Linked DNA regions of Drosophila melanogaster. The protein of the gene in region 1 purifies or fractionates together with the protein of each later gene. This does not show direct contact. Each region holds a gene or a part of one and is shown in the gene's direction. Other genes may lie near its edges. The genes, in order: REPTOR and raptor.

Region 1 (4,884 bases):
CCAGGAATGGCAATCAATCGCCAGTCAGAAAAAGGCGGGATTCCGACCAAAGTCCGCCAAGAAAACGAACGGGAAAAGCATCACCCACTCGAAGGAGAAGGGATTCCGATCAATCGCCACCCAGACGCCGCAGAAGTAACTCCGATCAGAGTCCGCCAAGGCGACGTAGAGACAAGGATTCAACTCCGCCCAGAAGGAGGAAAGATTCCGATCAAAGCCCACCTCGAAGGCGTAAAGCAGACGATCAATCTCCGGTGCGAAGGGAAAGGAAAGACTCCGACCAAAGTCCGCCTAGGAAACGGAGAGACAATGACCAGTCTCCAGTGCGAAGGAGGCGGGATTCAGATCAAAGCCCGCCCCGAAGACGCAGAGATGACAAGCAAACGCCGCCAAGGAGGAGAAGAAACTCCGATCAAAGCCCGCCAAGAAGACCCAAGGATGTAGATCAATCGCCACCGCGAAGAAAACGAGACTTCGACCAAAGTCCAACCAGAAAACGAGACAAATCACCACGCAGACGTCACGACTCCGACCAAAGCCCGGCCAGAAATCACAGAAGTCGAGAGCGCAGTCCACCGCCTCGTAATCGCTTCAAGGAAGAAAGGAAAAGTCGCTGGGCCAAGGCATCGCCCAGCAAATCAGCATCTCCACCTCCGACACACAAGCCGAAATCCACCAAGACACTAGATGGCAAGAAAGCTGGACTGCAGGATGCGAAATCGCTGAAGAAGGAAACCGACGAAAGGCGTCGACAAGAACATGAACTATTCGAGAAAATGTCCAGCGAAATTTCCGGTCGTGATGGCGATGTGCAGGTGCGCAGTACTCGCAGAAAGGGACACCGAGCACGAGATGCCGCCAATGAGGATCCCGCCGAGCAGGGCCGCAAAGAGGAGCACGAGAAAAAGAAGAAGGAACTGTACGATCGCTGGGGCAAGGGGTTGAAGCAAATAGAAGATCACAAGTCCCGCCTGGAGGAGATGGTCCATGAGGCCTCCAAACCGGTGGCTCGCTATGCCAACGACGAGGATCTGGACAGGCATCTGCGCGAACAGGAGCACGCCGACGACCCGATGCTGGAGTACATGCGCCAGAAGCGCAAGAAACGCGACCAGCAGGACAACAAGCCGGTGATGCCCAAGTACGAGGGCAGCTTTCCGGAGAACCGATTTGGCATCCGACCAGGATATCGCTGGGATGGCGTCGATCGATCCAACGGCTACGAGCAGCGTTGGTTCGACAAACAGAACGAACGGCGGGCCGTGCAGGATGAGGCCTACAAGTACAGCGTGGAGGATATGTGAATGTTGCAAGCGTTGTTTGCTTTCGTGTTGCAATAAAGATGTAGGCACTGCCTGTAAAAAAGAAAAGAGCAATTACATTGATCGTTTTCTTTGTTTTATTGAATTATTTTGGAAAATAAAGAATGTAAATAGGTAATATAATATTTAATATTTATTTACAAAAATTTGATTTTCGAAATGCCCGCCACTTTCCCGCCAAATCGACGTGCCACCTGCAACACTGGTCGCCAGCGCAATGCAACCCTGTGTGTAGAATAGCGGAGCAAAAGCGAATGGTAAATAGTCTTCATCTACACCTGCGACCTGCTCGTCGCTCCCAAAAAATCGTTTCAAAACCACGGAATAAACCGTGTAACTGGGGAAAACCCATTGTAATTATCAAGTTTAAAGTGTGCCGCACATTTTGGCTTCAAAACCAGAATAGGTAAGTGACATCATCTGCTAAATAGAAGCATTCTAAGATTTTTGCTTTGTAAGCAATAGAGTATCGATGTGTGTGTGTGTATGTAAATGGTTCTGCTTTTGGTTGCTTTGTTGCTGCTTTCGTTACAGCGAACAAAGCGTAAGCAACTGTATATGTGTATCGAGTGGGACGCCAGTGGTGTGTGTTTGTTGCCCCGCCCCCAATAATTAGCATAAAACTCTCTTAACCACAACAAAAACACCACAGTCGTGTTGGTTTGTGCATTTGTGGATTGGGATTTCGGTGGTTTTCCTTTTTTTTTCAGCTGCTTTGCCTGCCCTTCGCCTTCAGCCGCAATTGTCGGTCAGCCGATGAAAAACCAGTTTGTTTGTTTGTTGGCTTGTAGCTGCTGCTGCTGCGGCTGATTGTTGTGATTTTGTTGTTGCTGCTGGTGCTGCTGCACTGCAATTTGCTTGGCGCAAAATTGGCGCCAAAAGCTTTTCAGCTGCAGAAACGTGTGGAAATGTTGAAATGTGTACGTACCATTCCAATCAGGCATTTGGCGCATGCACGCGCCTGTCGCTCGCTGCAGCTTCCATCTCGCTCGCTCGCGGCGGGATGCAAATACCGCAATCAGCTTTCGTTCTATCTCTTTCCCGTTGACACACATACACACTTCCGCACATCGCATTCATTCATGACACTGCTATTTACTCCCCCTCTCTCTCCCCTGCCCCTCTACGTTCTTCTTTTCGATTCCTTGTGTGCCATTTCGTGGTCTGCTTTTATTTCGCTTCATTTTGAATTAATTGCACTTCGTTAGATTATTATTTTTGCACTCTAACAAAGAGCCGTTCGTTTGGATGTTACTTTGTGTGCAAATGAAGATTTAGCCAATTTACACAATCGTAAATTTAATTTGCGTTAGTGTATGTAAATCCATAATTTTCAGTTTCTATTTCCTTTTAGCAATCAAGTGCTAATTTGATCAATTATGCGCCTTTGATAAATAAATAAATAATGCAGTAAATTTATTTGTTTGATATTCTCTTTAATGTTGTAATTGTGCACTTTTCATACATATTATACTCCTTTGTTCTTAAAAATGCATAAAGTGAAGGTGGTTTTAAATTATGCTATAGACTTTGATTTTTTTAAAAGGTATTGACTAATTGAGTTTTTTAAACTTCAAGTTTACTCATTTTAAATGCATGAAAAACAGTTCTTTATAAGTTTAACTAGTTTTTAGTTATTTGTTGTTAACGGCAGATATTACACGCAATGGACATCGCAAAGATGCTAATTCTTTATTTCCCTAAGATAAGGGTAAAAATATCAAATATCTGTTTCTGAAAGTTTGCCTATTTTGCTTTTGAGCATGAAAACTTTCTTCAACTTTTCTTGGGCACTTTGTGTTTTTGAATGTTCTTTGCATCAGACAGGCTAAGATCAGTGCTTGGCCTTCTTCGACACATGGCCCTCTTAACCCCCCCAAAAAAAGGGGGAGAACCATAAACTGATGGCGCAGACACCCCAAGGAAACCTTCGCTGGTCCAAAAGCAACCCCCAGAGCAAGCTCAACCCTTGTCCTTGGCCCTTCCTTGTGCATTTCCTTGGCTTTTTCCTCGCGAATGGGGTGCTTCCAAGGACCCAGTGACATGACATTGTAATGGCTTAGAAATTTACACGCATCCCATGCTGAGTACGTGTGTTCCAAGCACCCCTTACAATCCACAGATTGATCCTCCCCCTTGGTCTTTGCTCGGAAATTGAGGGGTTGGTTTGTGTCATGCACTGTCAAAAATATTTATTAAATTACCAATATCTGAAACTCTAAATAAATTTCCCAATAGATGTAAAATCAGCACAAGAAATTTGCTATTTTCAAACGCCTTTTTTATCATAACTTGGCTAAAAATGTACTCACATTACAACATTTGATAGTTTTGTGCAGCTTATTATCCCAACTAACGATCTATATCACTTTTTTGTTCATATTTGGAATTTCAAAATTTTATGAATTTTGGATTTTTTGCAAGGGGTAACATCATAAAATTTTGAAAAAAATTTAACAAAAAAAAAAATTTTCAAATTTAAATGCCAATTGATTTAGAATTTTATAACGAGTTTTTTGAGATATGGCATTCCATATTGTGGCTGTTTTTTATAAAATTATGACGAAAAAACGAACTATTATGTGCGGAAAATTAGGCTAAAAAATTATTGCAAAATTTCATATTTACGAATACCACAAATATTGACTATTTGATTTTGATATATTTGAAATATTATTTATTACTGTTTATGTATGTACCAAATTGTTTGCAGTGTAGAATTTTGGCACAGTGATTCGGGTTCTTTAAAGCGTTTTTTAATTCCTTCACATGCTGGAACAACATAGGGCAAAGTTATTCAAATTCCTTTTGTTCGAAATCCTGTTGAATGGCAAAGGGAATTTCAATTCGGTTGATTCGATGGAATTTCCTCGGCACCACGTGTTCCGATCCTGGGATTTCCAATGACTCATACGCTTGGGGTTGTTGCTAGGGAAGCTTCTGAGTGGAGGAACTTCAGTTGGAATTGCCTTCTCGATCCTGGAACTTCCAATCAGTTTCTTTAATGGGAAAACTAGCGTATACTAATTCCTTAATTATTACTTTACCGACTTCAAGCTGCTGGAGGAATAGGAAGAGGGAAAGTCTAGGGGACTTACACCCCGCTAGGCCAACAAATAACTAGAGGAAAACAATGGAATTTTCATAATTTTCCTGGTCCATCTGGTTTTTCCCCCCTGCTTTGTGAACCTTATCCTCTTAGAACAATGCTGTGTAAAAGCGCCCCGCTGGAAAAACTAGTTTCTCCGCTTTCTTTCGATCGGAAAACAGAAGGCGAATGCCTTGTAACCAGTTTCTGCTAATTTGTGCACACGTGCAAATCCTTGGACAAAGGATCCATTGATAGAAACTCGTTCCAGCCCCCCGCCCGAGGCGAAAAGAAAAAAAAGGAAAGTGTTGGGTTCAAAACGCCGCCGGCCACTGACACAGGAAATTAAGGTTAATTCATCAAATTTTCGAAAAAGTTTTCTTCAAGAGACGGTCCGGATGGAAAATGCACTTTTCTTGGATCATTTGTCACTCGCATAATTAGATGCTTGTTATGACATCGCTGGGTTCAAAG
Region 2 (4,890 bases), on another chromosome or scaffold:
AAACTTTTGGCATGTGCGTTTCAGCTATTCCTTTTTTCACTATTGACATTTGCGGATTGTGGCTCCTTGGGCGCCATATGGCAGCCAAAAAGCAACGAGGAGAACCTCGATAAGCACAAATTTTAACCGAAACTCTTAGGAACAAAAACTGAGTGACCACACGAAACGAATTCAGGGGTGTTAATTATTTATTGCAATTTTAAGTTGTGTGTAAGTTTCTCGTTTTATTCTTGGACAGGATATTCAAAATGCTTCCCTTGCCAACGCTTATTCCTTTTGCGTGTTTGGCGTGCGACTAAACCATTTTTTAATCGCTTAGTTTGCCGGGCCGGTTAAAACAGAGCTTTTTGAGGCAGAAAGCTCGATTGGGCGAAGTGAACACTTGTTGAGTGGCAATGCGCTGATTTAGGCACCTGCAAATCTAACTAAATTTATTATAAAATAGTGTTAATAAAGCTTCCTGAAATGAGTAATCAACCAAGCACTTACAACTGATGCCATCGAAGATGCTATTTAAAAATACCGCCAACTGGCGGTGGAAACGGGTTTTTTTTGGCTGCCCCATGTGTTAGGGCTGCCAGCTGAGCTGATAGCCTTGCCACCTTGCGCGACTAGCACACTTGTCAATTTGTTTTTCTTTCGTGTTTATTATTTCCTAGATTTCTTTTGAGCTGGCATTTCGTTCTGTTTTTCACGTTTTAACCCCGTTTTTCGGTAAACCTCGTTTCTAATCTCGTGACAAGTTTTTCCACCGCCCGGAAAGATGCTAAGCCAATTTTACTGCTTGTTTTTGTTGCTCCTCCACTTCTTCGTGGGCGTGACGTTGTCTGAAGAGGGGGAGTGCCGCCGCCTTAATCGCGCAGATATCGAGGGCAGACTGTCCACAAAGACGCCCTACAGAGCGATCGCAAATTATGACGAAACGCCACCGAAATACGCCGGTTTGTATTTTTGTTGTTTTCTGTGTAACGCACCCACAGTAGGCACCCGCTTAGAAATACAAACATGTGTTGTGCCATGTGACAGTTAACAGCGCTCGCTTAATACAGTGAATTCATAATCATGAAAGCATATGGATTCTTTATTGATCATAAAACAGAGAATCGCTTTAGATTTGTTATTATACTATTACTAGTTTATTATTACCGATGCCTACTGCTAGCAAATGGCAATGGAACAGCTGATTTTTCTCTTTTAACCGTTTCACCCGACAAGGCTGCCATCCGACGCGAATTTGGACCATCATCCGACACGGAACTAGAAATCCTAGCGAATCCGTTATCCTTCAGGCGCAAAATCGACTATCAGAGATAAAGAAACGCATTCTGGATCAGACGAAGCCGCCGATCTGCACCGCTGAATTGGAAAAGCTGCGCCAATGGCACTGGATGCATCTGAATGCCACTGAAGATGAGAAATTACTGGTGGCCGAGGGTGAGGATGAGCTGATTGAGCTGGCGGAACGGATGCAGCGGCGATTTCCGGATCTACTTCCGGAGTTGTACAATCCGGAGTGGTACTACTTCAAGTATACTGCGACCCAGAGAACGCTGAAAAGTGCGGAAAGCTTCGCTACGGGTTTGTTCGGCCGTCATCGCATCCATACTGTACGATATCCGCCGCCTTTGCACGAGGATCCTGTTTTGCGGGTGAGCAGTCCTTTAGTTTTTTCTGTCAATGTAACCAAAACAAACTTTTGAATTACGCGCTACAAATGAGCTTGTAATGATCTGGCAACGCCATTCATTACAGCTAGGCCATTTCGCTGTTAGTTTATTATCGATATCAATGTTGTAAACCGCTTGCCAGCGTGCAATCGAAAAAATCATCGATTTTTGTTCCAGCTCTATTTTCTGCGCAATTCTTTTCGTATAATATAATTCGATTAAACATAAATAAATAAACCCAAGCGAAAGTAAATAAACCTGTTAATGCGCACCATCTTCCGTCGGAGATCGCTCGCTATAGTTGTACGGTTTTTATTTTGTCCCGGCATCGACCTAATCAGCCCAGGCGGCGTGTTTTCCCCGAGTTCTTTTTACCCGTTTTCGGGAAATGGTCCGCGATCCGTAGGCGGAAAACGTGGAGAAGAGGAACGTGGAAAGAAAAGCAGAAAAGCGCGGAGCGGAGCTGAGGAGGCGCTGGCGGTGGTGGAGGTGCGGAAAGTGCGAAAAGTGTTTGGGGTTATGTGCTAGAGTCCCCTCGGGGGGATTTTTAGCTGATTGAATCCGCGACCGAGACGTAATCGCTCCGGGAAATCGCTCGCATTGAGCTGCACCCTCTCCTCGGCAAACGGAAAAAGAAAAAAAGCAATACAGCGAGAAACGAGAGAAACAAAAAGCACGCAGAACATGACAAGTGCCGTTCGCGCTAAGTCCGCCGCTGCCGCAGTCGGCGTCGCAGTCGACGAAAGCAGCGGCAGCAGCAACGGCAGCGTCGCGGATCAAGAGGTGGCCTCCAGCAAGGAGGCCGTCCTGAGCGTCCTAATCCGCAAGAGATACGAGAAATATGTATTCGCCCCGTGGGACGATCCGATAATCTTGATAATGGAGCAACTGGAGCACATCGAGCACTGTCGATCCGCCGCCTTGGGGAACCAGGTGGCCATCGGCCGGGACCCATCTCAGGACGACTCTCTGAACGACCTGGGTAAGGTGATTAGCAACATGAGGCAGGACCAATCACTGGTACCAATCGTGAAGCACATCGAGCAAATATCCGACATTCAGGCCTCCAACGGCCAGGAACTGGCCTCCCTCGGTTCTTTGAGGGAGCTAATCCGGACTATCAGAAAGGAATGGCCCCGGGACGACTCTATCAAACTGCGGTTGAAGGAAATACAGATCCTGGGCATGCCGCCCGCTCGGAGCTTATGCTTCGGCGAGCGTATCCGCGACGACAGGTGCCCGCTCTCCCTGCAGACTAAAAGGCACAAGGAGCGCATCCAGGCCATGATGTACGAGAGACAGCCGTGGCGCATCCGCGAGCGCATGAAGACGGCAAGTGTGGCCCTGGTTCTGTGCCTCAACATCGGCGTGGATCCGCCGGACGTGGTCAAGATCCAACCCTGCTCACGGCTAGAGTGCTGGATAGATCCCAGCTCGGTGTCCCCGCCAAAGGCCATGGAACTCATTGGAAGCAACCTGCAGATGCAGTACGAACGCTGGCAGCCAAGGGCCCGGTACAAGAAGTGCAACGATCCCACCGTGGATGACGTTAAGAAGCTCTGCACCTCCCTACGCCGGAACGCCAAGGGGGAGCGCATACTCTTCCACTACAACGGACACGGAGTGCCCAAGCCCACAGCCAACGGGGAGATCTGGGTGTTCAACAAGACCTTCACGCAGTACATCCCCCTGAGCATATTCGAGCTTATCACTTGGATGTCAGCGCCCTCCATCTACGTGTATGACTGCTCCAACGCCGGGATCATCATCAATTCGTTTCAGCCATACGCTAAACAGCACGAGGAAGAACTAGGGAAGGCGCTGGCCGCCGCCCAGCAGAGGGGTGGTGTCCAACAGTTAGTGGGCGGCTCTGGTGGTGCCGCCAACGTAGCCGCCAACCAGGTGCAGTTAACCAACCAGATGGTCAGTTACAAGAACTGTATACACCTGGCTGCCTGTGCTGCAAACGAGATTCTTCCGATGAATGCACAGCTGCCGGCGGATCTTTTCACCAGCTGTCTGACAACACCCATTAACATAGCGCTCAAGTGGTACGCCATGCAAGAAAAGCTGGGCATGGTACCGCGTATTCAGAGCGAACTGATCGACAAGATTCCAGGTAAGGTTATACCTTTACTCACCCAGGGAATGCTGTTAACCATTAAATTCTATCGCAGGCAAGGTCAACGACCGGCGCACTATGATGGGTGAGCTTAACTGGATCTTCACCGCCATTACGGACACGATAGCATGGAACACACTTCCTCGCGAGCTCTTTCAGCGCCTGTTTCGCCAGGATCTGCTGGTGGCCAGCTTGTTCCGCAATTTCCTGTTGGCCGAGCGCATTCTGCGAAGCCACGACTGCACACCAGTTTCCCTGCCTGCCCTGCCGCCTTGTTATCGCCATCCGATGTGGAAGGCCTGGGATCTGGTGGTAGATTTGGCTCTACAGCAGCTGCCGGAGATTCTCGATCACAATGCGCCGTACCGCCAGCTGCCATTCTTCGAGCACCAGCTCACGGCCTTCCAGGTTTGGCTGGACAGCGAATCGGAGTCGAGAACGCCACCGGAACAGCTGCCCATTGTGCTGCAGGTCCTACTGTCGCAGGTGCACCGTCTGAGGGCCTTGGAGCTGCTGGCTCGCTTTCTGGATCTTGGTCCGTGGGCCGTTAATCTCGCCCTGGGCGTGGGCATCTTTCCATACGTGCTTAAACTGCTGCAGAGTTCTACGCGCGAACTGCGACCCGTTTTGGTGTTCATTTGGGCCAAGATCCTGGCCGTGGATCCCAGCTGCCAGGTGGATCTGGTCAAGGAATACAAGTACTTCCTCTCCGTGCTGCAGGACACCTCCGTTTCCAAGGAGCACCGTACACTGTCCGCCTTTGTATTGTCCTCCATAGTGCACAACTTCCTGCTGGGACAGACGAGCGCGCTTCAAGGTCCCCTACTGTCTATTTGCCTTGAGCAGTTGAACGACGGAAGTTGGCTGCTGCGCCAGTGGCTAGCCATCTGTCTGGGCATGCTGTGGCAGAACTTTGAGAAGGCGCGTTGGTCGGGAGCACGCGACCTGGCGCACGAGAAGCTGTACGTACTGCTGCGGGACTCGATACCGGAAGTGAGAGCCGCTGCCGTCTTCGCCTTAGGCACATTTATTAGCTCCGTGACGGATCGTAGCGAGGAACAGGCCAATAATATCGATCGCATCATTGCCATTACCATGCTC

The links.
Region 2: the proteins of REPTOR (region 1) and raptor purify together in Drosophila melanogaster (affinity purification with western blotting, with the first as the bait; one study listed by BioGRID). This does not show direct contact.

Annotation. Positions count from the first base shown.
Region 1 is NT_033777.3:24,579,557-24,584,440, reverse strand, and holds the start of REPTOR (repressed by TOR), read left to right. Parts: upstream 1-1,576; 5' UTR 1,577-1,728; intron 1,729-4,884. Other genes in the region: CG13625 (uncharacterized protein), read left to right, coding at 1-1,304.
Region 2 is NC_004354.4:6,087,168-6,092,057, reverse strand, and holds the start of raptor (raptor), read left to right. Parts: upstream 1-1,856; 5' UTR 1,857-2,351; coding exon 2,352-3,786; intron 3,787-3,844; coding exon 3,845-4,890. Other genes in the region: Mipp2 (multiple inositol polyphosphate phosphatase 2), read left to right, coding at 764-941, 1,216-1,649.